6 linked regions of the Solanum lycopersicum genome follow. The protein of the gene in region 1 interacts with the protein of each later gene in a pairwise test. Links are inferred from orthologs where the notes say so. Each region holds a gene or a part of one and is shown in the gene's direction. Other genes may lie near its edges.

Region 1 (4,912 bases):
TTGAGACAACATTATGCAGATTTTGGAAGCATGAAAACAAATACTCATTCAATTTCTTTTTAGTTGTCATAGTTTATTTTTTTAAAGCCAAAACAATAAGAATTTTGACTAATATTTTACGATATATTTTTTCATCATATTAATATGTAAAAAATTATAATTAGTTGTACTTTTCGTATAATTTTAAAATATCTAAAAAAAAATTAGTATAGAATACAATAAATTTGATTCACATCATTGTAATCGATAAAATAAACAAGGATAATTTTTTTTTAAAAAAAATACATTAAAAGGAAGGGAAAATTTGAAGATTAATTTTCTCCCCCAAAACATCCAATGAAGTAGTTACTCACTCTCTATCTAGTGGTACTTCTATGATTAGCCTCTCGAGGTCATGTTTTTCTTTTAACTTTTTTATATGAACGTGATGTTTGGATCAGGTTTTGTATACTGAGGTTAATTATCAAAATATTTATCATTTTTCATCAGTAATAAATATCAAATAACTCATAACTCTGTTCATTGATATTAAAATAAAATGAAAACTTGTTTGAAAAATGAGGTCATTAAACTTCCAAAATCAATAAATGAGGTCATAAATGGACATTATGAGAGTATCAAAAGGAGTTGTAAATCATATATATTGACATAATGAGTTCATAAATTTTTCTACTCTTTTCCCTATCTTGTATTCCTATTAAAAGAACTTTTTTTTTAGAAATTCTATAATCAGTCCAATGTTAGATACCTAAATGACATGTTTTATTTTATTTAATTTAACTATTTAATAGACGAAAATGTATCCTTAGAATATTTTAAGAAGTTGAGATATTCAGTTAGAATATTTATAATTTGGATGTCTAACTAAAATATCATAACAAATTTAAAAAATTAACTATTTATTAAGCTTTTCTTAAAAATATCAAGTAGTATCTATTTAAAATTGTGATTTTTTAAAAGATAAGTAAATAATATGAATAGAAGATGATAATGGAAGAAAATTAAAAAAATACTCAATCTAAGCAATTTGCGAGCCACAAATTTACCATATCATAGGTGATATAGGTTTTGAAACCTACTATTTTATCAGTCTCAAAATATTTTATTTTTTCCATTAAATAGTTATTTCAAAATATTTATCATTTTTAAAAATTCAAAATAAAATTAAAAAACTGATTAATCGAAAATATTATTAGCACTTAGAAGTTGTTTGGCATAGGATATCAAATAGATACAGTTATCTCATGTATTGTGATATTCCATAAGATTAGTTATCTCACCATGTTATTTGAGATAACTTATTCAATCATTATAATACATATGATGAAATAATTTTCCTAATTAAACGCATAATATAATACTCATAATTTTTTTTTGATATTATTATACTTTATTGTAGTGATATAATAAGTACTTTTTCATCTTTAACCAAAGGGCTTAGATTCAAGTATCCTTGGTTACAGAGTCACCTTTGTTAGGTAGTGTTTTATCCCTCAATGTGAGACTTTTCAAGATGAATTCAAATTTAGTCGAGCTGGAAACTAGATATCAAATGAAGAAAAAGAACGGACACCAAATGAAGAAAAAAGAAATAAATATAAATACCAGACATCGAATGAAGAAAAAAGAAAGAAGTATAGAAACTACCTCTAAAAAATGGATACCGGACATCGAATGAAGAAATAAGAAAGAAATATATAAAATACCTCTAAACTAGAGGTAAATTATTAGTTGCGTTCTTAAACTATTAACAACCTTAAAAACACTCATCTACTTGACTAACTAAATTTAAATACACCATCGACTCATCTCCAATCTGTCATACAACATACCAAGTGACTTCAAACTCTTATAAGAGCATGATATTCTTAATAAAAAGTCAAGTTAAGTGTTGAAAACAATCATAAACTTGATAAAAATTTAGAAGTGTATTTCAATTAGGATTATATTTAAGTTTGTTTAGTTAAAAAAAAACATTTTTAAAAATGATATTAATAATTCACATTAAATTTAAAAGTATCTTCCCTACTTAACCCCCCAACCCACCCCAAAAAAAAGAAAAAAAAAGAAAGAAAGAGTATACCTATAACCCACCCACCCCTCTCCCTAAAGTAGAGCTCCCCTTATTATGGTGGGGACCTTATTGTAGTGAAGGGAGAGAGGGCCACATTTTAGATCCATTTTTTCTCTTACACCAATTGTAGGACCATTTGTGGCAGTCAGTATGGTCCACTCAGAAAAAGTCACACTTTTCTTACCCCTACACGTGTCATCATCCCACTCACTCTTCCCTTATATACCTCTTCAACTTCCACCGTCTGATTCATACTCCCATTTCCCACTACTCACACCTTTTTTTTTCTTCTTCTTTTCCGAAAAAAAAAATTAAAAATATGTCCAGTTTTCATGACCCAGATGATGATTGTGGCACCTCCGAGCTCAGTAACGGCGCTGCCGGAGATCTAAATGACCAGAAAATGGACGGTCATGCAGTTGCCGATGACAAAAAACTCGTGTTTTCCGCTATGAAAGAAGAACCGTTTGATTCCGATCATCATACTTTGGTTCCATCAATGCCTATGCCGGTAGCTACCGCCGCCCCTCCGCGGAGGTCCTCTACCAAGGACCGCCACACAAAAGTAGAAGGACGTGGACGGAGGATCCGAATACCTGCTACATGTGCAGCTCGGATCTTCCAATTGACCCGAGAACTAGGTCATAAGTCCGACGGAGAAACTGTTCGGTGGTTGCTTGAACAGGCGGAGCAATCTATAATTGAAGCTACCGGAACCGGAACTGTACCGGCGATAGCAGTTTCTGTTAACGGTACTCTTAAGATTCCGACGAGTTCCCCGGCGAGTAATCCAGAAATCGACGAGAACCATCCACAGAAACGTAGAAGGAAATCATCAAACTCAGAGTTCATTGATGTCGGAAGTTTGAATAGAAATGCTGCAAATGTTTCACAATTTGCTCCGGTAACAACCACGCCGGCAACAATAACCACCGCTCCACCGCCGGGATTCGTACCGGTATGGGGTATGAGTAATGGTGGTATGATGGTACCATCCAATGCCATTTGGATGATACCAGCTACGGTCCCACCAGCTCAAGTAAACGTGACCAATAACAATAACGTCGTGCTCCAGTATCCTCAATTATGGACACCTGTATTTAATTTGGCCACGAGGCCAATACCATCATTCGTGACTGCAGCCACGATTAATACTAACGGTCCGCCAGCAATAATGATTGCAGGACCGTTATCAGTGAATAATGGAGCAGCCACAACCACGGGGCCTAAAATTGGATCGAACAAGTCTAGCATGGCTCCAGCTAGTTTAAGCTCTAGCACAGATAAAAATAACAACAATACAAATGATGTTAAACCTCATATGCTAAGAGATTTTTCACTTGAGATTTATGATAGAAAAGAGTTACAGCTTATGAGTCGAAGTGGAAATCATCAACAAGAAACTCAAGTTACATCTTCAGAACGTTCATAGATTCAAGTGATCGTCATAATTTATTGAGAATCAATATAAATATAGAGGCAGAGTTTAGGCCAAATATGCTCATGATACTCTTGTATGTACAAACTACTAGAGGACACTAGCTATTCACTTTTTATTTTGTTTCTTTTGCTTTTGTTAAACTAATGTTAATTAGAAGTTGAATGATGTGTAACTCTCTTAGAAAAATTACAAATAAATCATTGTATAATTGTCAAAGGAAACATTATCATCCTTCAGCTTTATTATAATTTAGTTAACTGTGTATTAAAGATTTGCATTATTTTAATTGTCATGTCTTTCAAGCCCTAAAGTTAGAATTCATTGAAGTGGAAATCAAATTACTTCCAATTAACCTAACCTACTTAGTGCTTCACTACATTATATGTCACATAAGTGTCATTCTTGCACTTACTAGGCATCAAATATTTGGTCTTTTATTTCTCACCCATACTTATAAACAATTTTCACAAAATATTACTTTCTTTCGTGGACGGTCAAAATAGAAAAAATAAGTTTTCTCGAAGTGAAGATATATTTGTTTGCTCTATTAGTGTTCATCCAACTCTTCCATACTATCTTTGCCCTCGTAATATTTATCTAAAAATTTCTATCTGCCAACTGGCAGCACAAACAAACTTAATTAATAATCTTACTAGACAAACTTTTGACCATGATCTGTTTTTGGGAAATGAGAAAAATTATAAAGTGAGTTTCTGAAAAGACATTTTTTAAGTGAAGTGATTAGTGTTTAAAATTAAAAAAAAAAAAAAGAAAGTGTTGAAGACGTGCACGTGAGTATCGCACGTGTGAAAGTGGATTAGGACTTTGAGAAGAGTGGGGACCCGTTTGGGCTTTTTGATGGATCAGTTTTGGGTTTGCGTAGAGTGGTATACTTCCATTGGTGGTCGTGGTGTGGCCCACGGCCCACCTTGTCTAGTGGGTCAAAAATAGAAGCTTCCCGATAGTCGATTTTTTCATCTGATATTCGATATTCGACTAATCTAAATTTGAGTTGAGAAGGCTCGCATTGAAAGGTAAAACGTTTCTTATTAAAAAGTAGTTTCATTATCAAAACTTGAGCTTAAGACGTCTGATTTTTTTTATCATTATACTATAATCTTTGATGATTCCAGATCAATTTTCGTGATAGAATAAAGACTTTTGAGAAGAATATTCTTCTAAAAAGTATAATGTAGATGGGAAACAGGCTGTGTTTTTTTTTTCTTAACTAAGTGGTACATTTCTTACCTAATCACCCCAAGTTGATATAATATAGTGTAATTATCGAATACTTATATATACTAATGAAAAAAGTGAACACTTATTTATCATGTTTGTTTTTTACTACGTGAAAATAAACAATTGCTATGTTAATGGAGTTATATTAAAAACTTCCA
Region 2 (4,404 bases), on another chromosome or scaffold:
TTCAAATTTCATAACAATTTGATCCATTTACTTTGAATATCTACACGTAATTATGCCATCTACATACAACAATAACAATATTATCCCCTTCACCAACTATGAAAATAGTAAGATCAATGCTTTTTAAGTTAGGATAAATAATTTTATTATCGATAACATATCGACATGTATCTATTCCTGAAATAATATCGACATGTATCTATTCCTGAAATAGTATAATAAATGATTGTGTCAATGTTTTCAATTTTGAGATTGCTAGATTATGATATTATAGCTAGTTGGAGAATTGATAGATAACAATTGTGATGTGATTTTTTCTTGTAAAGATGATCTTGTATAGGATCATGTTTCGAAGATGATAATCGCGAAAAAATCTAAAATTTGAAAGTTTCATTTTAATTCTTCGTTTTTCTAGAATTTTCATGTTTTTATAACTAATAAAATTGAAGCATAGACATCAAGAATATTCAAGTACTTTGAGATATTTATAAATGAATATAGTCGATTCACATAAGTGTATTTTTAAAAAAAATAATTAAAATATGAGGTATTTTTCATTGAGAATATCTTTTACTTATATTGAGATCAACTTTCTATTTTGATCAATTTTTTACGATCTATTCATATGCTAATATTTTTTTGTGTTTCTAGAAATGTTGTCTTATTTTTAGAATCAATTTTTCTGTTCTACTTATGTTTAGTCATGTTTTGTGTCTCCTTTTCTTTCTACTTTTTATCACTTTTATTATTCAGCAATTAAAAGAGCAAAACATATGGTAGAAAATAGAAATAAGTGAAAAGATGAATCAACATGAAAAATATTTGACCAAAAAATGTATAAATATATGCCTAATATCACTAGCTCTAAGTTTTTTTGGCTTTATGAAGTACAATTGTTATTCAGATTACTACTAAGTAGATTGTCATTATATAAGAAAAACTATAGATAAAATATTTATTGCTCTTTCGCACATTTTCGAAGATCTTCAAATAGTTGTTGTACTTGTAAAATTCACGGGTCAACACATTATCAGTTTCTAGTAGGCAAATTGATGATTCTAGATCCACCAATGTTAATTTGAGGGAAATGTTCGCATGATGAATGATTCGCATATAGAAAAATTGTATATATTTATGTGACTATATGATAATGTATATGAGTTTATAATTAAAGAGATTTGATGTAGTAATCAATGAGAATAAATATTATAGCATAACATATTAGTAGGGATAATATATATATAGAATTGACATTGAAGATTAATATGATAGATCGTCATAGATGTAAATACAAAAATGGAACGATTCTCATTTGAGAAGTATCTACATAAAATTAACAAAAATCTACGTGTATTCTATCTCATGATTTCACCAACTCACAAATATCACAAACTAATAGAAAATAATTGTGTGACTATATAGTATATTGCATATAAGTATAATTATAATGATTTGAAATAATCATACAAAAGAATGAAATCATAATTTAACAATTAGGAACAACAAAGAATAATAAATCTTTCCAGAAAAAAATGATAAATACAAATCTGAATACTTCCTATATAATGACACGAGTCTCAATTCAATAGGAATCCTATAAAAATCAATAAAAATCTGAAATTATTTTCTAATATTTTCATGCGGTATTAACCTCTAGATCACACCCAAGTCATGAAGAATTTATCAATTGATTTTGATGGCTAGCAAATTAAGCAAAACAAATAGATAAATTCTAGGGATGAAGCAAAGGCAACAAGTCTCTACTAAATGCACTTGTATACCAATATAGCAAAAGTAGGACATTTATGGCCTTTGAAACACACTCCCCCCCAACCCACAACCCTCACAAAAATAGAAACTTCTTTTTGTTTATCTATTTATTTTTGAAAATAACTTGATCTTGTGGTCCCCCTCCCACAATAATTATTATTTTAGCTCGGAGCTGGAGTATAGTTTACGATACTTTGATTCATATCATATATTTATTTTTACAATTTTATAATAGTTGTTGTTAGATCAACAACTCAAACGACTGAGCATGTTGTTGTTGTTGTTAGACTAGTAACTTAAAAATGATTACTACAATCTCAACTTAACAAATTCTAAATCTCGGCTCCGCATTTTACTTTTATTAGAGACTCAATAAAGTTTGTAACACCCCCACCCCCTTCTTCCATTTGTCCCTCTATATATTGACATATATACATGTAAATATATATGTACGAATTGTGTATGTCATAATGTATATAACTTACACCTTTTCACTACCCTACGAAGATGTACTATTTAGCCTTCAAAGGCTTCACACAAAGTACATATTCATGAGCTTTGATTCAACTTTGCAATAAGTCACCTCCCTTTTTGCACCCCTCTTTTTTTTCTTTTTCTTTTTAATTACAATTTTTGGTTAAAGGGTTTCAATAAATATGAGAAAAATATTTTCATAATGACACAAAAAAAACACAATAGATATTCTTCTTCTTCTTCTTTCTTGATATATTCACCCTTTATACTCTTCTTACCATGGATATCAACCACATTAATAAACTCACTACCTCCACTTGGGATCCAACCATGTCCAATATGGACAACCAACAAGTCTTTCGCGATCAACAACAACAACAACAACCATGCTTGTCCAGTATACCAAACGACCATATCTACCACGAACATCATCATCATCAACAACAATTTCATTTCGAACATAACCCTATTTGGCCTAGTTTTCCTCTTCAAAACCCTCAACACCATCACCTTCCCTCCTCCTCAACCCAACAACAACAACAACAACAAGAAGAAGTAGTAGTTGTCCCTTTTGATCATGTGTTAAACAACCATGTTCAAACCCTAATAGAGGATCAAGAACACGATGATCAAGACGAAGATGAAGAGGAAGAAGAAGAGCTAGGAGCCATGAAAGAAATGATGTTCAAAATTGCATCTATGCAACCAGTAGACATTGATCCATCCACTATACGAAAACCTAAAAGGCGTAACGTACGTATAAGCAATGATCCACAAAGCGTAGCAGCCAGGCTACGCCGCGAAAGGATAAGTGAAAAAATCAGAATCTTGCAAAGATTAGTCCCTGGTGGAACAAAAATGGACACTGCATCCATGTTAGACGAAGCAATTCGCTATGTTAAGTTCTTAAAAAGACAAATCCGTCAATTACAATCATCGAATCATAACCTCCCACCAGCACAGATACCAGTATCGTCATGCCCTAATAATGAAAATTGGGCAAATAATATTGTCACACCAAGTACAAAAGGTCTGATTCTTGGCTCCTCTAGTAGTACTACAACCAATAATGTTACAACTTTTGTTGGTAACACTACATTGGATCCACCTTATGAGGTAATTGGTAATTAGTTAGGTCATATTATTATTATTATTATTATTATTATTATTATTATTGTGTAGTAATTGGAATTTTTAAGAATAAAAATATTATATATAGAGGAATAATTAATTATTTGTGTATAGTGGATCATGTGAATTGTGAACTAAAAAAAATAGGTTTGTTAGGATTGTGTTGACTTAAAGGGCATGATAATCATCACAACGGTTAGAGTTGAGTTACGTATGTTGGTATATACTAGTATATTAATAATTATAGAATATGGTTTTTATCTATTTATTTTTTCTGATCATCAAAAAGTTCGTTTGGCTGAATTCTCTCCCGGGAATAAAACAGTGACGTGAGAAGAAATTGAATATGATTATACTCTTTGGCCCACCTCACACACATTTATTTATTTTTTCGATTTTCAATTTGGTATCTGGGGGTCTGGTTAAATTTAGATTAGCGTTGGAAAATTTCATATTAGGATTTAGTGTTTCCTAATAAAGGTGACTCTGTATTCAGAAGGACTTGAACTCGAGACCTCTGATTAAAGATAAAGGAGTACTTACTACTCCACAACTACTCTTGCTGGTATAATCTCACGCACTTGTTTGTGCTCGTGTGCGCATGTTTGTACAATTTGTATTATGTATATGTATATTGAGTTTAATTTATATATTACACACCAAAAGTGTAAAGAAAATTATATTTTATGAAAGATTTCAAATCTCGTTTTTATGGAAAATTACTTGTAGATATCTTTTGAATAAATTGATAGTGTGATTTAATTCATTTTTTTTACTTATATATATTATTGGGGGTCTTCTTTGCTTCCATTTGTTGATTTTTCAGTTGAGTTTGTGATTTAAATTTAGAGCATTTGAAATTTGGAAGTTTTATAAGTATGCATTTTCATATGAGGAAAAGGGTGAAGTAAAAAAAATTTAATAGGGAAATATGTATATAATTGATATAGAAAAAACTAAAAAAAAAAAAAAAAAAAAACTACATATACTGATCATGATGATTCAATTGAGGTGTTTTCTCCTTTAATT
Region 3 (5,768 bases), about 1.3 Mb from region 1:
TTAATCAATATATTTATTTTTATATTGATCACTAAAACTAATATTGAGAATAAGATAATCTTCACTATATTATCTTATTTATTTTAACTTTTAAAGTGACGGCTCATGCTCTGTCCCCATCTTGTCATGTTTGGATCATTCTCATCTGTAATAAAACTATATAATATAATATACTGAAATAACTAAAAAAAAAAGAACTGTTTTTAAAATTTGTCAAATAAAAGAGCGGATATTTCCTTCGTGTCACATAAAAAGTATACTTTATATTATTGAGATGAAAAAGGTTGAAACAAGAAGATATTTTTTGTTTTGTTATATTCTTGAAAAGTTATGTTTAATTTGTTAGTTCTTAGAACTTCAAGAGCCATTCTTTTCGAATGTTTAATCTATAATAATTAGTATTATAATTTTATGATAAAATAGAATAATTATGACAAATAATATAATTTATATGACATTTCATCCGCTAGGACTCGCAATAAGTATTCGTATGAACAAATTGAAATATATTTTTTTTAAAAAATTTAATATGATAATTATATTTATAACAAAATACAGAATAAAACATTTTTATTCATAAAATCTTTCACTTTAAAATAATTTAGAATCTCATGTGCAATTTGCTCATAATTTTGTGGGTGTGAATGAGAGAGACATGAAGGTGCGTCCCCACCTCTATGCTTGAGTTGGATTAAAAATACAGAATATATCATCAAATATTTTTTTAATTTTTTTGTCAAAATTAATATTATATATAAAATGAGAGAGAACCTAAATTTGTACGGCAAAAGCACCTAATGATGGGTTAAATCAAATTTTTTTGTTGTCTAATCATCTACTAATTGTTGTTACCCTAGTATGGTTTTATTTCTTACTTAAGCAATGTTAAATGTTCTCGATGAATAAAGAATATTCCTATCTTGTGTTATAAAATGGTTCCCACTAATTTTTATTCATTTCTTGTGGAAAACTATACCATTTTAAAAATTACCCTAGCCCAAAGAATGGTATCATTCACAAAGTGATTGTAATTTATGAAAGTAAAGTTTAGATCGAAATAAGTTGTGATTTAAATTATAAAATAGATATATTGTTATTCGAGATTAGAAGTTCAGGCGAATTTAGATGGTTAGTTATTGATTAATGTAAACTTAATAGTTATTGTAGATGACTCTAAAAAAGTTGATAGCACTTTGAGTGATCTTTTAATTATTGATAATTTTTAATTTTTATAATATTTAATTAGCTAAAATTTGTTTTTTATTTATTTGAAATATATAGTTTTGATTTTTTTTTGTAAAAATTTAAAATTTTCTAAAATACTTATCGCTTAACTATTTAATTACACATGCATTGTGTTAATTTTGTGTTGTTACGTATGCATATGAGTGCGATGTGCTTCTAAAGACAAATTTATATGTTACATTCTGGTTCCTACATAAAAAGGGATCAAAATTGCAACATTTCAAATAGTTAAAGAAAAATCATTTAATTAAATATCAAAGTAATTAAAATTTAATAATGATTGAGGGGGGCTAAAAAATAATTATTTTTATCAATTAATATTTATTTGTAAATTTACTTTATTATGATAATTCATATTTGATATAAAATTTTTATGAAACTTCGAATTTTGAATTTGGAAAGATATTTCCTCTTCTATAGTGTATACTCATAAAACTTTTATTCTTTGAATACTAACCAAACGTAATTTAGGAAGAGGAAAAGATAGCCCCAAAACGACATGATAATCTTTTTTTTCATTTTTATATTAAAGTGTACTTTCTTCGTTTATTTTTATTTGTTGTGTTACGTTTTTACGAAAGTCAATTTGATAAATTTTCAAAGTTAAATTAGATTATATTAATTTGATATTTTAAATAAAAAATTATATATTAAAAATTATAAATTATAATTTTTTGCATATCAATGATCAAAAAATATATTTTTAAATGTTAATTAAAATTCTTATAATTTAACTCTAAAAATAAAAAAATATGACGAATAATAGTAAACGGAGAGAGTTTTGAACCACATGAATATCTTTTCTTTATGAAATTAGAACTTTATATTTCTTTGTCCCTTCCTCTGAAAATAAAAAATATGACGAATAATAATAAACGAAGAGAAATTTCAAACCACATAAATATCTTTTCTTTAAGAAATTAGAACTTTATATTTCTTTATCCCTTCCTTTTTAGTCTTTTTATTTTATACCATACAAAAGCATACCGCAATTATAGTTACGTGCCTAATTATCTGACTGAACCTAAATGATAAAACATAGAATCTTTAATTCCGCTAGAAAAAAGATTTCCATTAAAACATTCCATTTTTTTTGGAGTCTTATATGGATAAGTCAAAATAATTTTTTTTTTTTTTACTTTTTTTAATGATGAATTCTGAGCACCGACAATGCATAAATTTATCTTTTTTAATATCATTAGGTAAGAATTTACTTTATTTATTAATGATAAAGAGACTTCACTTTTCATGTTATCCTTGATAACTATGGTGGGTAATTTTGAAAATGAAATATTTTCGATGAAAACGTAATAATTTTTTACATAATTAATATAGGCATGAATTATCTCTTTATTGGTTCGGTGAATTAACTTGTGATCACTTATTCATTTGATAAAATGTCAAAATACTTATATACTTATTTTTTTAAAAAAGGTTTTCGCATTTTTTTGATAGACCAAGAGTATTTATTTATTTATTTTCAAAAAAATCATATTATTTGAAAGAAATGAGGAGTTTGGCTTGCTATCGGGAGAAAATAAATATTAATAGGGAGTAATTGAAATTGTTTTTTTCAAAAGATTAAAATAATATTTTTTTCTCCAAAACTATTATTGAGAAAAACACACTTAAAAACACCTTAATATAGGTTTGGCCAAATATATAATTAAAGAACATAAATGTTTTTTTAAATTACATGGATAAAATACAAATCACTTCTAAAAGAAATTACTTTTTTTACAAAAACATTTTTTAAATATATTAAATTTTAAAAGTTTAACCAAGACATTAGTAATAAAATCAATTAATCCTCACTTAATTATTACTTATCCATATGTTATACTTTTCCTTTTTCCATTCGTATTTTCATTAAACTCCGATCATTCAGAAATTGTGCCGTGTAGGTCCCTATCAAGAGGAACATTCTCTACTAAAGTTTTTTACATTTAAAATTTTAATTCGAAATTTCTAATTAAAAAAAAAATAATTTCATTTACTATCTAAGCTTATTGAGCTAGTACTCCACACTATTGATATTTCATATCCAACACACTCTTTACATTAAATATTTTCAATTGATTAAAGATTAAAAAATATATTTCGTCATCTAACATGTTCTTGAATTAATTGAGTAGCAAGTAATTTTCAACTGTCAATGTCTTAAAAAAGCAATTAAATTATTCAAAACCCTATTAAAAATCACGTGATTCACTATATTGTTGGAAGTACCAACAACCAAATTATTTATTTTTGGTTTCAATCACTCAAAACAAATCAGAATTGTCCCTCTATTATTGAGGGACATCCTTGTTCTTCTCTCATTATTATTACTATTATTATTATTATTATTATTATTATTATTGTATTATTTAATATACATGCACAATAAATTCCACATCTCATTAATTACATAAAGAGTTAGATAAGGATATATTTTATTTTATTTTTGTCTTTTAGCCTAAGTAGTAAAAGCAAACAAAGTTTCCTTTGGACTAAAGTCTCTTAACGTAATTTCCAAAAACTTTGGTTGTCATTACTTTGATCAATTCTTCTCCATCTACTACGTAGTATACTTTTAAGACGTGTTTGACCTACTAGTATTCTAAATGTCTTTGACATAAATGTTTAAAAAATATATATATAAAAAAATTAAGAGAATGTTTTGTAATGAAAGAGAATATTTTTCAATTTATCATGTTTTTAACAATAAACTCCAATGAAAATAAATTACATACGTGATATTTTATACTGAGTGTTTCATGTCATCATTTTGAGGATCTGTTTAAATTGATCTATTTTAAATGATTTAAGTTAAAATAGCTTGTTATAATATTTGAAAACTTTTGGAAAGTGTTATTAAATACTTATTTTTAAATTTTAAATAATAGACGTAAGTTATTAAATATAAATTAAATCTTACTTATAAGTCGTAAAATATAAATCTAGTAAAAAAAAATAAAATTCTAACTCTCCACCCACCTAGCCTAGACTATGGTCAAAATAATATTATTCTACTTATTTTCAAAATGTAAAAAATAAGTACTTAATTATTTGTTTTCGAGGTTGAAAAATGTTTTCTTCATTTCATATCAAACAAACCTCAAAACACTAAAATATTCCACACGTTTTTGCAATATTAGTCTTGTGGATTACTAATTAGGGTAGTAAATATTAATATTAAAATTTGACTTGTTTTTCTTGCTAGCTAGGACATGTATTTGTGTTGCGAAAGAAAGAATGTTTCGTTCAAATACGGCACTTATAATATCAAAACTTATAATTATTCGAAGGAAATCAATTTCATAATGATATCTAATTAATTTTTTAAAAAAGAATATTTGTCGGTCTAGCTTTAGAAATTTTGAGGGTACCAAGGTAATTTAGATGCTAGTAAAATTAAGATCGTAAATTCGTAAAATTATTTACTTAAATTTTGTAATGTTTGATTGAGTGGAAATGTGTTTTATATGTAAATCGTATTAAAAAAGGATTTGTGTGATCAATTTAATCAAAAAAATAAAGCTAATACGAAATTTCGAACTTATAAGTTTTTATTTAATATATCAGCTACTCAATCACCCTTACAGATGTGTTGAAAGTATGTTTTGAAATATGTATTGATCAGGAAAATTATCAACGCGTAATAAATTAGAGCCCTTTGAATTAACTTAAAAAATTAGCTTATAAATCAAAAATAAAAAGTCAAACTGAAATAACTTTTGAGTCAAAAATTAAAAAATAGGGAAATACATACTTTTGGTTTCTACTTATTGCAAGTCATTTTATCTTGTCAAAAACTTCGTAACTTATTTTAAGTCATTTTAAACTTATTTTAAATTATTTTTATATTTATCAAATATTTTCAAAAATTAAAAACTGATTAAAAAATAAATTTGATCGACTTTTAAGCCAATCATACGGGCTCTTAACCAAATTACTTCTTTTTTTAATTGGGTAAAATATAGCAATGTAGAATACATTTTAGCAATTCAAGTCAAACACTATAAATAATTTCAAAAAGAAAAAGGTCTCTTTTTTTGGAAAAACATTTGTGCTTTACCATATATAGTTTCCTTTTTTTCAAATGGCTTGACCAATATGTGAAAATGCCTTTTAAAACTAATCATACAATTAATGAATAAACATAATTATTTAAATAATCTTACCAAAAAGATTTGGTTTGTAACCACACATCATTAAAGAATTCCTTAGAATAACTCAATATCCAATTGACCACAAAATCAAATCATATATCATATGTTTGAATAAGTAAAAAGTTTAATTACTTGAAAAAACTTGATAGAAGACTTTATTTAGACATATAATGAAAATAACTTAATAGAAGACATTATTTAGAACTATAATAAAATAAAAACAACCTAATAGTAAATAACTTAATAGAAGATTTTTTTAATAATGAAAATAACTTAATAGAAGACTTTATTTAGAAATATAATAAAATAAAAACAACTTAATAGAAGACTTTATTTAGAAAAAGAATAAAAATAACTGTATAGAAGACT
Region 4 (4,715 bases), on another chromosome or scaffold:
TTCAAATAATTAGGATGGTTTCCTCAATCTAATTCATGTAGTTAAAATTTCTTTTCTTGTGTAGTTGACATTTGTTTTTATGTCACCTACTGTTAATTAAATCTTTTATGAAGGAGCTTCTTATATGATGTAACCTACTCAATTGAATAAAACTTTCTCTTCTTCTTTTCTCCTTTTACTACTTTATGAGAAACACTTGATGTGTGCTGTCAAGCAGTGTGCAATTCCGTCAGTCCCAATTTGTAGGTGCCAGTTGACACATAGCTAAATATGCAAAAATTGACTAAGTTAACTTCCTATTGAATATGCAACAGAACCTGCAGCTCCTGGAAAAGCATCTCATTAAAGGAAAAATGCAATATTATTATTAGGCTTTTAAACTTTTTTTTCAAGGTTTCAGTTCTTAACAGGGAAAAAAAGCCAACTAAATTGGGATTCAGGGAGTAATATATAGAAGGGGATGAAAATAGGGAAATGTATCTCTCACCCAAGGATCCACCAAAATACAAATAGATGAGTTTCCACCTGTTGAGCCATTTGAAATAAATGAGTTAATACTTCGATACAGATTCCCATATACAACTTGGATAACTTTTCTCCAGATAAGTATGCTCAACTTGGATAAGGTTAGATTTTTCCCCTTATTTATGATATTGAGGATTCATACACTCGGCCCAACCCGAACTAGCTCGGTATTGCGGTGTAATTCTACTCACTTTGAGTAAGGCTATGAATTGATTTAGCAAATAATACCGTTTAAACCTTTAGAAATTTTTCTTGGTGTAACTTTCCCAGGAAGGAAATGCATTTCAAACCCACATATATCCACATTCCTCCTTATACCTGCTAAACATTTCCCAATATCATTGGTTTTCTCTTATTGGTTCCTTTTCAAACAAAATCAAATGATAACCTCTTGTTCCTGAAAGCATTCTCTTTGAATCCAATCAAAGGTCTCATAGAGAGATGCTGAGGAGAGAAGCACATTTGTAGTTACTCCATCCTTCTAGAAATTTTTGTCGAGAGGAACGGACAAAAAGTGGCAGAGCAAAACAAAAAAGATTCCATATTACATCTGAGATTGTTTACTTGATTGTAACTATATGGAGATATTGGAGATATATGTTGAGTTAGGACCTGCTGGGTCCCTAAACTATGTTGATTTACAAGAGGTGCAGAAATTGAAATGAACAATTGATAGGCTACTGGCGTTGGATGTTCATGTGCCAATTTAAAGTTGAGTTGATAATTTCACTTAAACAGTACTGGTTTGGGTGTGTGTCCTGGGGGGAGGAGCTACTTATACATGCTCTGTAAGATTTTGAGGCATGCGTTCTTTATTTTGAGCATTCTGGCATTTTATTTCCTCTCTTTCTGTAATTTTATTCTCTTTTTTCCTTCTCACATATTTGCACACATGAAGTCATAGCATCACTGTACTAGTTGCTAACACTTCCCTTGATTTTTGACAGTTTGTGTTGGATACAAGTTGGCGAGTCGTTGCTGGTGAAGAAAGCAATGACATGGAGGTTCAGAAACAACGGGAGATGAGAGTTCTCGAAGCAATTTATCCACGTGAATCTTCCATTCCTCCAAAGTATGATTCTTCATTCTTGTAGGATTCTTTTTTCTTTCTAGCCTGTTCTGGTAATGCATTGTTGTGATGAGAGTCTAAACAGCCTCTCTACCTCACAAAGGTAGGGGTAAGGTCTGCGTACATCCTACCCTCCCCATACCCACTTGTGGGATTACGCTGATTATGTTGTTTGTTGGTTTGTTCCTTCTAAAAGCATTTTTTAAAAATTCCTTTTCCATTGATCTTGTTTTAGTTCTAGATGTTACTTCTTTTAAATTGTTCTTTTTTCCCCACGCAGTCCTTCTATGGGTCCTGGAGATGAAACCCTTCATAATGATCAGCACACACCAGTTGTACCCTTAACACCTGTTGAAGAGGAGGAGGTAGCAGATCCTTCATTTGGCACTGCTGTACCTACTAATGGTGCCAGCTCAACGGCCCAGGTAATGCAGTCAGGAGTTCCCTTGGGCAATAGAAGTGCCGGAAATAGCCTTCCAGTCCATGGAATCTCATCACCGGGAGGTGTTCCTGGCTTGGGGCTTGATGCTGTAGCAGAAGCTCAGGCAGCTTTAACTGCATTCATGGCAGACAGTGGCCAGGGAAATCTGATTGATCGCGATCTGCTTATAAAAATTTTGAGTGACCCGAAAATTGTTGGGCAACTGGTTACACACCAAGGAGTAGGCACCAGCTCCCATAGCGTGCCAGCTATGAATACCCAAAGCATATCTGCTGCTAATCTCATGCCCAACGCAAGGCCACAGGCATCAAGTATTGCTGCTCCATCTCAACCTGTAGTTAGTCGAGCCAATCCATCTTTCTATCACTCAGGTAGGACAGATCCTCCTCCAGTTCAAGTCAGTAGAACAGAACTAGTTATCCCCTCGATGGCAGGTGCTACAAACGGCCCCTTCCACTCTGCTCCAAGTAGAATAGGACCCGTTTCCGGTTTGAGGCCTCGTATACCCGAGGCCATGTCAGCTCCTTTACCAGCTCCAGTAGCAACTATGTCAACACCTACTTCCTCTATGCCAGCACCTGTAGCTAGGGACATCAACTATTACAAGTCTCTCATTCAGCAGCATGGAGGAGAAAGGCAAGAAACATTACCACCACAATATAACAACCACCGAAACAACCAACAGTTAGGTTCAGTTCAAGAATCACAAAATAGCTACAATTCAAGAGATTCAAAACCTAAGATAATGAAGCCTTGCATCTATTATAATAGTTCACGAGGATGCCGGCATGGCGCCAACTGTGCGTATTTGCATGATGCATCTCCCCAACAGAGGGGGGTGGGTAGCTTGCCAGAGGTCCAAAGTTCAAAGAGAATGAAAATGGATAGGGAGATTACTGGTACATAATAATGCAGCTTGGCTCTTCTCTGTACATTAAAATTTTTTCTCAAGGGAGGAATTGCTTGTTTGCAACTTGGCCATTTTTGCCCCCTTTTTTTCCTCCATTCCCCTACAATGAGTCAACTTCATTAAATATTTTACTTATGGTTCTAAATTTCAATTACAATACAACTTTCTTCTCTGCTACTTTTTTTTCTTTTATTATGATGCTTGCATGATGTCCAATACCTTTTATGAAGTTATTTTGCCTAGTTATATGCTTTAGTGTTGATGGTAGTTGTACCTATAAGGAAGTGTATATAAACTTGACTAGCAAGGGTCCGGATTAGTGTCTGTGGGTACGAAATGGTCTTTGTTAGCGTTTTAAAAGAACCCTTTCAAGTGTGGGACTTTTCAAAGTTGGGCTCCAATGCGGGTACTGAACACTAAAAGGAAAAAAAAACTTGATACGTCTTTCTTGAGGTGAGGGTCTTTTGGAAACAACCTTAGTCTTTGTTAGAGAGTGTTTTAAAAGAATCCTTTAAGTGTGGGACTTTTCAGAGTTGGGCTCCAATGCGAGTACCAAACATTGAATGAGAAACTAAAACGAAAAAAAAACCTTGATATGCTTTACTTGAGGTGAAGGTATTTTGGAAACAGCTTATAAGGTAGGAGTAAGGTTCGTGTACACAACACCTTCCTCATATTGCACTTGTGGGTTTAGATTGAGTTTGTTGATATTGTATATGGTTCTGGGAGTTTAATATGATTTAGTAGGTCAATAGCGTAAACAGTTTTTTACACTTGCTAACGTATCGAATAGTTCTGTGAGTTTAACAATGATATAGTAGGTCAATAGAGTAATATTTTTTTACACTTGCTAGCGTATCTAACAGTATTAGAAACAAATGTGGTTCTCACCACGGATCAGTAGGAAACTTATGAAAAGAATGTGATTTTCTCGCTCATTTCTCACCAAATCAGCTCACAAGGAAAAACAATGATCGAAAATATATTAGAGAAGTGGAAAATTTTGTAAGTTTTCTATCTGAAACAATTACTAATTCTTTGTTTTTTTATTTCAACATGTTAACTTAAAGTCAATAAATTTTAAGTTCGGGGTATATTTGACTTTTCAAGCATTATGTTATACGTGTCTTTCATCCTATAACTAAATGGACACGTACGATCTTCTACATCTTTCTAGAATAGTAACAATTGTTCTCTTATCACAGAGCACAAATGTAAAAAGCTCACAAAGGAAATAAGAGTAAAGTCGAAAGTCGAAAGTAGAAAGTGTAAAAAGTTTTTTTTTTCCTTTTACGGATTGAAGATAACTTACATTGATGGTTTATTTGTATGTGTGTGATGTCAAAAGTTGAGTCTTTAGGACTACGCACTTCAGTTTTTCATAAAAGAGAGAAAATTATACATGTTAAGATGTTGTATCGATATTTTCCACTCTTAGATTGTAATGACATCTTTTTTTTTATAGGATATTGATATTGAAATGACATAAAAGTAAAGTTTCTTCGTTGGGATGTAATTATGATTCTAAAGAAATAAAAGAACTATGTTGCGAAGCTTGAAATATGTTTGTATAGCCTCTTTTATTAGTTTTTGAAATATGCATATTGTTAGGATCGGAAATAAGCAGGTGTAAACGCGGAAGCCAGCAAAGCAAACCTCAAAAGACCACGAGTAAGAAGACAATGAGAAATATATCAAAAAATACAAAAATTTAACGTGGTTCGGTCAATCAACCTACGTCCACAAAGGAGATGAGCAATCCACTATAA
Region 5 (5,714 bases), on another chromosome or scaffold:
GGGGATAGGGGGAAACAATAAAATCTTGATGGAGATCAGTCCCACACTACCAGTTTGCTTCCTAGTGTAGGGCATCTTTCTATTGAGAGGGAAGAACATTTTCTTTTAAATGCGGGAAGAAAAATCAATTCTATCAACTTGAACTTCAAATAAGGTAAAGATAAATAATGCTTGTTTGAATGAAGTTCATTTGAAATCTTAAAAGCTCGTCTAAAACATGAGTGAGGGTGATTCAATCAAAGAGACTGGAACAATTTGTTGGAAAATCGTCCTCACAGTCTGGGCGCCGGCTCCAAATAAACTACAATAAGACTAGACATCATTTCAACCAGAGCTCTTCTTTCCCTTACTATTCATCCCAAAAAATAGTCACTTGGTTAATTGAATGTATTTCTTGTTCTTTCAACTTTCCTTTATCTTGCACAGGAAGCAAATAAAGTTTCAGTACTCCAATTTCTCTATGAGCTCGTGAGTAGATTAAACAACAAAATCCATGGCACTAAGGTAATTTTTGGTTTCATCTAAATTAACCCTCATCGTCTAATAGTGAATGCATTGACCCCCTCCCCCGTATGATGTGCTCGTGTTGGCCATATCTGGAACTCATGATTCTGCGTTTGGAAGGATTATGATTTATGAGGGACTTTCATACACTTCAACATGTGTTTTAAAAGAAGGATACATTTTGAAGCTTAAATGTCAAAATGGGATGCCATTTTGCAAGACTTGATGCCAATTTTGAGTGTGTGTGGTGTTGTTGTCTCCCCACTTTCACAGAGAAGCCAATTTACTCTCCTTTATTTTACCTAAAAAAACTCCAAAAGAGACAACACAGCTCCTTAGAGCATTTTTGGGGAAGTGATGGAGGTGAACAGTTCGAGTGTAAAACAGTTGGAACGTTCTTTGTAAACCTTGATGAAGCTTGGGATTAGATGACCTTGTAACATGGATTGTAGCTGATTGTGAGTAAATGTGAAACATATGATCTGAACATCCTGCAAATAGTATTTACTCTAATCAGACAGTGGTATGCAGAGCTTCTAGAGTTCTAGAGCATAGGAATTTGTTGTGGGTCGTTCATACCATAGAACTGTTCCTGGGATTGGGAAAGATGCTAAAACTTGGACCTCATCCAAGTTATAGAAATTACCTAGTAAAGTCAGGTTTCCTTTTTTATAGCAGAAATCACTCATGTTTGAAAGGTTACCCATGCTGTCACGCTAGCTTGAGAAGCTATATCTCTCATTGGAAGATGTACCATGTCATTATAAGATGCCTAGTTGGACCCTACTGTATTGCTCAAATTCTTTAAAAAACAGTCTTGTTTTGTTGATGTCTTTTTGATCTTCATTACATTTTTTCAAATGTTGCAGGCAATTGTCGGTGAGCTTTGGTACGTTGAGGAATATGACATATTAGCTCTTGCGTTGGATGGGAGAATGAAAGTCCGCAAGTTCCAGCTTGGCTGTTCGAAAGTGTGAATCAATCTATGAGAATGGAGTATTGAACCTTTCACCACTTGCTCCTGTATGGCAAAGACATTAACGTATCGATGGGGATCATACGAATTCTGATGTGCAGAAATATTCACTTCCACTATATATACAAAGGAGCGCTAAAAGTTGGGATATTACAATGTATAGTTTGCTATTCGAACATTTTCTGCATGATATTTTAAATTTATACTATAAGTTTGTTAAAAGTATGTGGTTAACATTTTCTAATGTGTCAAGTCTTTGGTGTAGAAGTAAAGTTGGTGTCAAATCTATACCTACTATTATAAAAATGAGCTGAATTTTATCTTATTGACTAATGACATATGCTTTTCTCTAAGTTGATCTTTGTAACTCTTTACACTCGGAGATGCCACCTAAAGACTACTATTACTACACCAGTACACCACAGATTTGCCACCAACTACACTCGCAAAAAGAACCATAAGAATCAACCCCAAATCATACGATCTCTTTTACGCCTTCATCATACCATTTTCTTTGGTCAATATCTTAGTCCTATCTCGATGGCCATAATGTTATATGTTGTAAATGATTTAGGAATTGAATATTATGTATATGTATGGGTTTAACATTAGAATATGTGAAGCCTAACTATTAACGAATTCTTTTTGTAAAGTTCGTGGGTAAAAATTAGACCTTTTGTCCTAAATAAAATGAAGGATAAATTAAAAATAAAAATTGGAGGATAAAGATTTAATAATTTATGTGGATTGTAGCAAGTGAGAGGAGTGGCGTGTGTGAAAGGTCAATAAAGATGACATGAGATGGGAGCGAGTGGAAATTGCAAGCATAAACGTGTAGGGCTTTGCTATTTGACAAAAAAACAAAGCTGGCGTGGCACGCATCTCATGCGTTCCCCACTTGATTCTTCCCACCACCAGCTGCTCGCCACACGCCCCTCCCCACCCACAACTTATTAAAAAACATACAATCTTTCTTCCTTCTTCCCCTAATCCGACTCTCCTCTCACCATCCCGTTTCAGGTATAATTTTTCTTTCTATCTGTTTCACATTTATTGCTCTTATCCTTTCAATCTTTCTTATCTTTAAGCCCTATTTCTGATGTGCTTGAAATGATTTCTTTTGGGGTTGCGCTTTTAACAAAATTTTATTAGGTTTTTTTTATTTTTGCGTAGGCAGAGAGCAGAAGTCATGGGGCTTCTTTTACGAATTTTTTGTTCTTGCTTTGGTGAAGAATTGGGAACTAAAGGTTTTTTCTTATCAATAAATAGTTGATTATAGAAAAATGGGGATCAAATGCTGTTATTTACTACCCAGTCTTCCGAAACAAAGAGTGTTTCTGCTTAGTTCGCTTGAATTTTACTTACCTCAATTTAGGAGTTCCGCTGTTTAATAGCATAGCATAGGAAATAGATGGTGAAGTAATGAGAAATCGGCTAAGTATACCGTGTTAATGCTGAAAATTTGTTACTTCAAATGAACTTAGCTTGATTGTTCATCATTTGACAAACTTTTGGACAATCCTTACTTGCACCTTTTTTTCCCTTGGACAGACAATAGTTTTTCTCATCAAAGGCTACACCGTGGACTCGAATAAGAGATGGATACAGAAAATCCTGCTCCAATAGTTGAAAAGGATACTACAGATGCGGAGACATCATTGGATAGGTCAGTTCTCAAATTTTGTAGCCTGAATGTCATATTGGTTTTTTCCCATCAAGTATGGGAATCTGCAATAAGCCTGTGACATCTTTGTTGTTGAACTTATAATGTGATTTTTTATAAATCAAGTGTGGTATTATTAAGAGGCGTCAAGAAGATGCAAGAATTACAAGACGTGGTATTTGAGCTTACCAAAAATCCCTGATTGACTATATTAATGAGTTAATTAAGTCCTTAAGTTGTTCTGCATTAACAAATTGGACCATTACAAATTGGCAATACACTTTGCCTTGAAGATTCGAAGTTGACTACCTATCAAAATATCTCCTATTCCTCTCTAACCAAATACACCAAAAAATACAAGTAGTATCAAAATCCAGATCTTCTTGATGACTTTGTCAACTCTCCATAGGCAGTTCTCATGAGCATCCTTAACTGAGAATGGTGTGGCCAATTAAGACCAAAGAGACAAAAAACATGTTCCATATTTTTGAGGCCACCTCACAATGAAGAAGATGTCGGGTGGTTTCAGCCTCTTTTTTGCACATATAGCATCTGTGTGGGAGCTGTATTTTCCTTCTCTATAGATGGTCTTGGGTAAGATGCCTCATATAAAGCTGTCCAAGTAAAACAAACAACCTTAGTTGGCAGCTTGGTCCTCCAAATAAGTTCCCAAGACCAGTTGTCTACCATGGGAATTCTAGAGCATATTTGTTGGTACCCTGCCTTGATTGTATAAATTCCATCTTTTTGGTATCCCCATTTAAGCTTGTCAACTTCATGGGGATGTTATTTTCATGCAAGTTTGATGCCAAAATTGCTTCTTATTCAAAGCTTAGCGTCTGGTTTTGTTACATTTGCAAGGGCATTGACCCTTGTATAGATAGTGAACAGATTTATGTATCCATGGACGCGAAAAAATTATTCTGGATTGGGTGGGGATCCTTTTTACTTTTGATACTATAGAAATTTCATGTGAGTTAGCTGGCATACTGATCAGCTCAGTAGGGATCTTTATGTGGTTGATGATACCAGCTTTGCAGCAACAATTTTTTTCACAAGTTTGACACATTATAAAAAACCCAGAACCATACTTTGTTCATTTGTAGACTGTCTCGCCATAAGTTGGAAGGTACTATATGCTAGTTTGCAGTTCACATAGTAGCTTTAGAGGCTTAATTTTATGATGCCAAGGAATTGTCGCTTCTTATTTCCAAAATCTACGATTTTCAGCAATAATTTAGCCCTTTCTGCAAGTCTTAACTTAGCAACAGGATCAGTTTCTAACTGACTAACTTGCAAAAGGTCCTCACAAAATTTAGAGAATGTATTTCTGCCTCTTCAAAACTCTATTCTTGCATCTTTGAATCCTCATTAAAGCTCCCAATCTCAGGATAAATACAGTAATAATTTGTGTACTCAGTTCATGTATTTATGTTGACTTTGTTTTGCCTGCTCTCTGCATCATTATCAGTGGCATATCTACACAAGTACTGATTGTAAAGCTCTCTTGTTACAGCTCTCATCTCAGGAAGAAGATTCAGAAGAAAGTTCCAAAAAGAATTCACAAAGCTGAGAGAGAGAAAATGAAGAGAGAGCATTTAAATGAGCTTTTTCTTGGTTTGGCTGATGCTCTTGGTAATTTCTTGATTGATTATAACTTACCCATGTTCACCTCTGACAAATTGCGGAAGTGGTCCCCTTAGTGTAATTTTCTGTAAAGAGATTGGCTAATTTATTAGACGTGGGTGCCTTACTGGTGCAGAACTATCTGAGCAGATGAATGGAAAAGCCTCTGTATTGAGTGAAGCTGCTCGATTTGTAAAGGACATGCTTTCTCAGATCAAGCATATGAGGACAGAAAATACGACTTTGCTGTCTGAATCTCAATATGTAAGTGTCCTAATTTCTGGGAATTTTGCGCAGCTTGGAGATGCTGCCCATTTCTTCTCTTTTTTATGTCCTTCGAAGTTTGAACCTGGATTCACATAGAACATTGTGCCACTATACGGACATGGTATATACACTAAATAGGATAAGTATGAGGCCCAAACTGAGAAGAGTTGCACTCCCCATGAGTTGGCCTTCTAATTATCTAATGTGAGCTCTCCAGTAACTCAAGAAGGATTACCAAAAAATAAGACAGTGGGATTCATTTTTTCATGAATGATTGATTTGCCCTTCATTCCTCATCTAGGATGTAGGATCCACTCAGTTGTGGTCTATACATTACAGCTTCACATATATTCTGCTGTTATTCTTTTCTAATTCTGCTGTCTTATTGACAGCTTAGCGTGGAGAAAAAGGAGCTTGAGGATGAAAATACAGTTCTGGAGGCTGAAATTAGCAAACTGCAGAATGAGGTCAAAGCAAGGGAAGCTGAGACTAGTCTTGACCTAAATCTAGCTCCTCCTGAAATTCATCACACAGAGTTTGCCTCACAAACTAACTATATGAGATTGCCTGCTTCGGAGCACGGATTTCAACAGTCACAGATGATGAACCCCGTGTACGTCTTTCCCTTGAGTTCTAATCCTCAGGCTTATCCAGCGCCTGATGCTGCAGATCCCATGG
Region 6 (5,525 bases), on another chromosome or scaffold:
ACAATTTAATTCGATTTTGTATATCCTTATTCATCGCTATTCTTTGATTGTTTAAAAGCTAAAGCCACTCATGTCTAATAGCTTAGGAAGTTTGATACAACGAACTCAATACAAAATATACTAACTTTAATTTGAGGAAATCAATTATAGACTTCTTTTTAATATCATTTACTGCACCAACTTATCGTTACCTACTATCCATACAAACAAAAATTCTTTAGTCAATACCTTTGATCAGAAAAAAAGACAGTGGCCCTACAAACAATTACTACTAAATTATCAATATATATATTGATTGCCACTTGTAGTGCTTATTTTCTCCTAGCAAATCTAGAGTGATAGTTACTCAAATGGACTTCTTCTTTTGATTTGGTTTTGGTTTAATAACAATAGATTTCTTTTATCATCACAAAAATATTTAGTAAATAATTAAATTAATGTCATTATATTTAGAGTCATTCAAATTACTAACAATATTTATATAAAGTACAACAACTACTATTATACACAGTAAAATTTTATAAGTACAATCTTATCACTACTTTTCATAGAAATAAAGAAAATATTTTTCAAAAAATACTTATAAAAAATCTTGATTATTAATTATTGATCTGCTAAATATTTATAGCAATAATTATATTACTGTTAAGTAATTATTACAAAATTCTTTATTTATTTTATATATATATATATATATATATATATATATATATATATATATATATATATATATATATATTAATTAATTACTACCAATCAACACATGTATCAGATAATTGAACAGTACATGAATGAAACATAATATATTTTACTTCTACTACAGCACCAAATTTGAAACATTCTATTCCTAACTTTTTGAGAATTTTTTTGAGTCTTAAAAATAATAATCTCAACCCAAGTGGGACCAAATTTTGAATAATTTTGTAAGTAACTACTTGTAGTTGTTTCCACATTAAATATATATTGAATAAGTAACATTTTTATGCTCACACGTTTGTATAGTCAAAAAAATACACGTAGCAATGAGGTATTTTACACAAAGAATGCAATAGAATGATATAGTATCCAAATTATATTCAAACAAAGAATTCAAGTCAAACAACTAAATAATTACACAATAATTTAGATAATATACAATGATATATTTATAATGCCTAAATAACTAACTTGACTCTATCAATAATGAGATTACTTTATTTTAGAGGCTACCGTAAATTTTAACTTGTTATTAAAAGTTTATTGTTATATATTAACTTTTAACATGATTGATTTTGGAGATAAAATTAACTATAATTAAAGGAAGGGATTTATTTGAATTCATATGAAAATTATGCCGTATAAATAAGGTAGAAGTAGTACTTTTCATTTGTTCGTTTTAAAAACTTAAGCAAAAACATATATAATAACATATACCGTGCAACAAATAAAATATAAATTTAATAATATAACTCTTACATCGTAAAAATAGAAATAATACTATTAATTTTTCTAAAAATTCTCTATAGTCAAGTGCTTCAAATTGAAATATTTACAAAAAAGTGAAACAATAAAAAAGAATATGTCAATTAATAAGAAAAGTAGTACATAGATTCAAAAGAACAATAACAACAAGAAAATAATATAGTTATTAAAATATAATAGACAATAAATAATTAAAAAATATAAAAAGTAAGAAACTACATGTATAAAACTAAATATATATAGCTACAACATACACAATTAATTTTTTTTTTATAATTATCCAAAATATGAAGAAAATATTATAGAAAACAATTTTCACCTTATGGAATCTACGCGACACAAATTCATATTTAAAAAATGAATATATTCACGTCTTATAGATATTTTATAAAGTTAACTAGTTTAATTAGAGATTTTATCTGTCACACCACGATCACACCACGATCACAAATTTTATATATATATATATATATGACTCTCATTCTACTACTACTATATAAGAAGATGTAAGCACAATACCAAAGTTTCATTCTTTTAACACAAAAAAAAAAATTCAAAATAAAGAAAAAAAAAAGTTATCTTTGCATTTCTCATGAACTTCGGTGTCGTGTTAGGTTTCTATTGTTGGGGTTGGGAGTTCTTAACTGCCCTTCTTCTTTTCTCCACTCTTTCTTCTATCTAACTAAATAATTTCAATAATTTCTACAAAAAAAAATAATCAAAAATCCCAAAAAGGGTTGATCATTTTGTGTTTCTCTACTCATTTCACCAATTTTCTTGAAAAAAAAAAATTACAAAAAAAGTTCATTTTTTGTGTGTTTAATTTCTTGTTTTTACCAATTTTCTAGGTTTTCAAAAACTCCAACAACAAAACAAACCAAAAGGGGTTGCTTATTTAGTGTTTCTCTACTCATTTTACCAATTTTTCTTGAAAAAAAAATCTTTCTTTTTTTGTTATGGGGGTATTAGAAGGAGGTCAAGTAAGTGATGAAAAGAGTTTGTTAGAGTATGTTGTGATGAAAAAGTCATCACCATCACCATTTTTATTGAAAACCTACATGTTGGTGGAAGATCCGGCGACAGACGACCTCGTTTCTTGGAATTCCGATGGATCGGCGTTTGTTGTATGGCAGCCGGCGGAATTTGCAAGGGATTTGTTACCTACACTCTTCAAACATAGCAACTTTTCAAGCTTTGTTCGACAACTTAATACCTATGTAAGTTTTTAATATATTCGTCTTCAAGATTTATATTAGATCAACGAATATAACATTAAGTTTTTCATATATTAATTTTGAATTTACCTCAAATCAATAAATATAATATAAATTTTTAATATATTTATATTAAATATTTATATCAGATTAATAAATATAACAAAACATATAATATTAAAAAAAACAGACTTTTTTGATATTAATATATTTTATATTTATATCAAATCAATAAATATAACATAACATGATTTTCTCCAATGAAAGTTTCTTGGAAATGTGCTTATCGGAAACTATTTCGAGAAAAAAAAAAAATATATATATATATATATATATAGTTGCCGACAAAAATATCCATTGAAAAAACGTGTTGCTAATAAAACAAACACGTGTTGAATTAATTTTTTATGTTTGTCCAAAAATTATTCCCTACTAAAAAGAAATCCTTTAAGAAAATAAATCGTTTTCTCATTTTAATTTGTGATTTATTAAAAATTAATTTTATTTTATTTAGTTTTTTTTTTTCAAAAAGATTGAATTTGTTTTCCCACTGTCATCAAAATAAGTTATTTTTTATTAAATACATAGAAAATAAATTATTAATCTATATATATGTGATATTGAAAAAGTATTTAACTAGCTAGAGAATGTAATAATAATCACATGTAGTTTGAGGAGTTTGATTCTTTTGATTATATAATTAAAGTTAATTGTTGGTATCTTAGAGCGTTTGGTACGAACGAAAATATTTTCTCGAAAATGTTTTTCAATTTACTCATGTTCGGTTGGGATAAAAGTTTTGAAAAATGTTTTTCAAATCAATTTATTTTTTCTTAAAATTAGAAAATGACTTTCCTTAAAAAATTAGAGAAAACATTTTCCAAAACTCTCCTCTAATTTCAAATTACATTTTTTTTGGAAAAAAAATATCAATTTTAAAAAAATATTTTCAATATCAAAATTTTATTTTTTCACTCAATCCTAACCCCACACCACCCACCCACCACTAGGCAGCCCCCCCTCCCGAAAAGATTAATTTTGCTTTTGAATAATATTTTCAACTTTAAATTTTTATTTTTAAACTCCTACCCCCTCTCGCCATCCCCTCCCCCCCAATTTTTTTTAAAAAATATTATCAAGTTTAAATTTTTATTTTTTCACTCTTGCCCCCTATGCCCCCCTCCACCCCAAAAAAATAATTTTGTTTTTAAAAAGTATTTTGAATTTCAGAAATTATTTTCTACTCTAGTAAAAATAAAAGATGTTTCTTAAAAATATTTTTCATTCATAAATCAAACACTAAAAATTATTTTCGAAAAATATTTTCTACTCACCAACCAAACATGAGAAAATCAGTCAAAAATCTACTTGTTTTCCAGGAAAACATATTTTAGGAAAATATTTTACATGAAAAACATTTTCCTTCGTACCAAACGCAGCCTTAAAGTAAAAAGGATTTAAAGAACACAACTTAATTCTTGTTACTCCCTATGTCTCAATTATATGAGATCTTTTAAGCTTTGAAAGTCAATCAGTTTAAGTTTAATCGGAAATTTGAGTATATAATTTTTAATTTTTTTGAAATGAAATTTATATATTTGTAAACTACGTAAAAAGTACTACACAAATCACAATAATTGATAATTCAAAATGTTTAAAGGATCTATGAAAAATTTACCTTTAAAGATATATTTGTTTAACTCTTGAAATCCGAAAAATGACGTATAAAATGAGCCTCAGAGAATATTTTTAATACAAATTAAGATTACCAAGGATTTTTTGTGGGCTCAACTAATAGAATTACATATCATGATTATGGAGTAAACATAAAAATAATGATTATATTATTGACATCAATCATACTAGCTAAGAGCTTAGGTTAATAATTATGATTATTATAGGTTATCAAGACAAGATGCATGTATTGCTAGTTGTCAAAAGTAGTCACAAAATAGTTAATCACTTTGGATTAAGTTTGTCTTATTTGTATACTTTTCAATTAACATGCGTAATAATAGTGTTTTCACTAATTAAGTGGAAAGGTTAGTGGAGATTAAAAAAGTGCACTATTTTTCATGGATTAATTAAGAAGCTTCTCTTCTTTTTTTTTTGAGATAATTATTGTTTAAGTTTGAGATGATTTTTTTTTTTTTGGATGGAATGTTTATTTTTCATATGATTGTTTTGAAATTTATTCTAATCATCCATTTTGCATAAATAACATTAGGGTTTTCGTAAAATTACAACAAGTCAATGGGAGTTCAGTAATGATAAGTTTAAAAAGGGCGAAAAGAATTTACTCCGTGAAATTCGCCGAAGAAAAGCATGGACAAATAGGCAACAACCAAACAACAAGAAAGACAATATTATAGAAGAAGATCAAAGATCATCATCATCAACTTCATCATCATCTGAGTATATAAATCTTGTCGACGAAAATAAAAGGTTGAAAATGGAAAATGGAGTCCTTAGCTCTGAGCTTTTACTCATGAAAAACAAGTGCAAAGAATTAATGAATATTGTTACAATATTTGCTAAAAATCCAGAGAAAGAAGAAGATGAAAAAAAACCAATGTTATTTGGAGTAAGATTAGAAGTTAAAGAAGAAATGGAGAAGAAGAGAAAAAGAGTTGAACTTAATGAAATGGCTAGTGTTTTTCTCTCTCAATTATGCAAATAAAGTAGAAATTTAGAGAGAAAAAATCTATATGTAATAGTTGTACTATGCTATTTTGTATTATTTCATCCAAAAATTAATGGTCTTAATTAGCATGTAGTGACTACTAATTAAGTGGAGATATATACCTAAGTTGTATAAATTATGCAAGTTTTATTTTCACGTGAAATGTT

Evidence for each region.
Region 2: the proteins of TCP20 (region 1) and transcription factor HEC3 interact in binary tests that used the Arabidopsis thaliana proteins (3 or more experiments, as listed by UniProt). The link is inferred for Solanum lycopersicum from reciprocal best matches to the Arabidopsis thaliana genes TCP9 and HEC3.
Region 3: the proteins of TCP20 (region 1) and transcription factor KUA1 interact in binary tests that used the Arabidopsis thaliana proteins (3 or more experiments, as listed by UniProt). The link is inferred for Solanum lycopersicum from reciprocal best matches to the Arabidopsis thaliana genes TCP9 and AT5G47390.
Region 4: the proteins of TCP20 (region 1) and zinc finger CCCH domain-containing protein 6 interact in binary tests that used the Arabidopsis thaliana proteins (3 or more experiments, as listed by UniProt). The link is inferred for Solanum lycopersicum from reciprocal best matches to the Arabidopsis thaliana genes TCP9 and AT1G19860.
Region 5: the proteins of TCP20 (region 1) and transcription factor bHLH47 interact in binary tests that used the Arabidopsis thaliana proteins (3 or more experiments, as listed by UniProt). The link is inferred for Solanum lycopersicum from reciprocal best matches to the Arabidopsis thaliana genes TCP9 and PYE.
Region 6: the proteins of TCP20 (region 1) and heat stress transcription factor B-3 interact in binary tests that used the Arabidopsis thaliana proteins (3 or more experiments, as listed by UniProt). The link is inferred for Solanum lycopersicum from reciprocal best matches to the Arabidopsis thaliana genes TCP9 and HSFB3.

What each region holds. Positions count from the first base shown.
Region 1 is NC_090807.1:65,637,314-65,642,225, forward strand, and holds TCP20 (TCP transcription factor 20), read left to right. Parts: upstream 1-2,325; 5' UTR 2,326-2,393; coding exon 2,394-3,506; 3' UTR 3,507-3,736; downstream 3,737-4,912.
Region 2 is NC_090810.1:1,210,229-1,214,632, forward strand, and holds transcription factor HEC3, read left to right. Parts: upstream 1-2,389; 5' UTR 2,390-2,523; coding exon 2,524-3,375; 3' UTR 3,376-3,486; downstream 3,487-4,404. UniProt on the Arabidopsis thaliana protein: Required for the female reproductive tract development and fertility.
Region 3 is NC_090807.1:64,303,622-64,309,389, forward strand, and holds the start of transcription factor KUA1, read left to right. Parts: upstream 1-2,376; 5' UTR 2,377-5,768. UniProt on the Arabidopsis thaliana protein: Transcriptional repressor. Direct regulator of the transcription of peroxidase (Prxs) and reactive oxygen species (ROS)-related genes via the recognition of 5'-ATCACA-3' motif.
Region 4 is NC_090811.1:66,584,039-66,588,753, forward strand, and holds the end of zinc finger CCCH domain-containing protein 6, read left to right. Parts: intron 1-1,472; coding exon 1,473-1,597; intron 1,598-1,874; coding exon 1,875-2,943; 3' UTR 2,944-3,123; downstream 3,124-4,715.
Region 5 is NC_090802.1:62,691,382-62,697,095, forward strand, and holds the start of transcription factor bHLH47, read left to right. Parts: upstream 1-2,251; 5' UTR 2,252-2,500; intron 2,501-2,653; exon of another isoform or gene 2,654-2,727; intron 2,728-3,031; 5' UTR 3,032-3,078; coding exon 3,079-3,146; intron 3,147-4,659; coding exon 4,660-4,778; intron 4,779-4,905; coding exon 4,906-5,033; intron 5,034-5,428; coding exon 5,429-5,714. Other genes in the region: uncharacterized protein, read left to right, coding at 427-504, 1,374-1,481.
Region 6 is NC_090803.1:7,239,136-7,244,660, reverse strand, and holds the start of heat stress transcription factor B-3, read left to right. Parts: upstream 1-1,936; 5' UTR 1,937-2,417; coding exon 2,418-2,678; intron 2,679-4,902; coding exon 4,903-5,355; 3' UTR 5,356-5,525. UniProt on the Arabidopsis thaliana protein: Transcriptional regulator that specifically binds DNA sequence 5'-AGAAnnTTCT-3' known as heat shock promoter elements (HSE).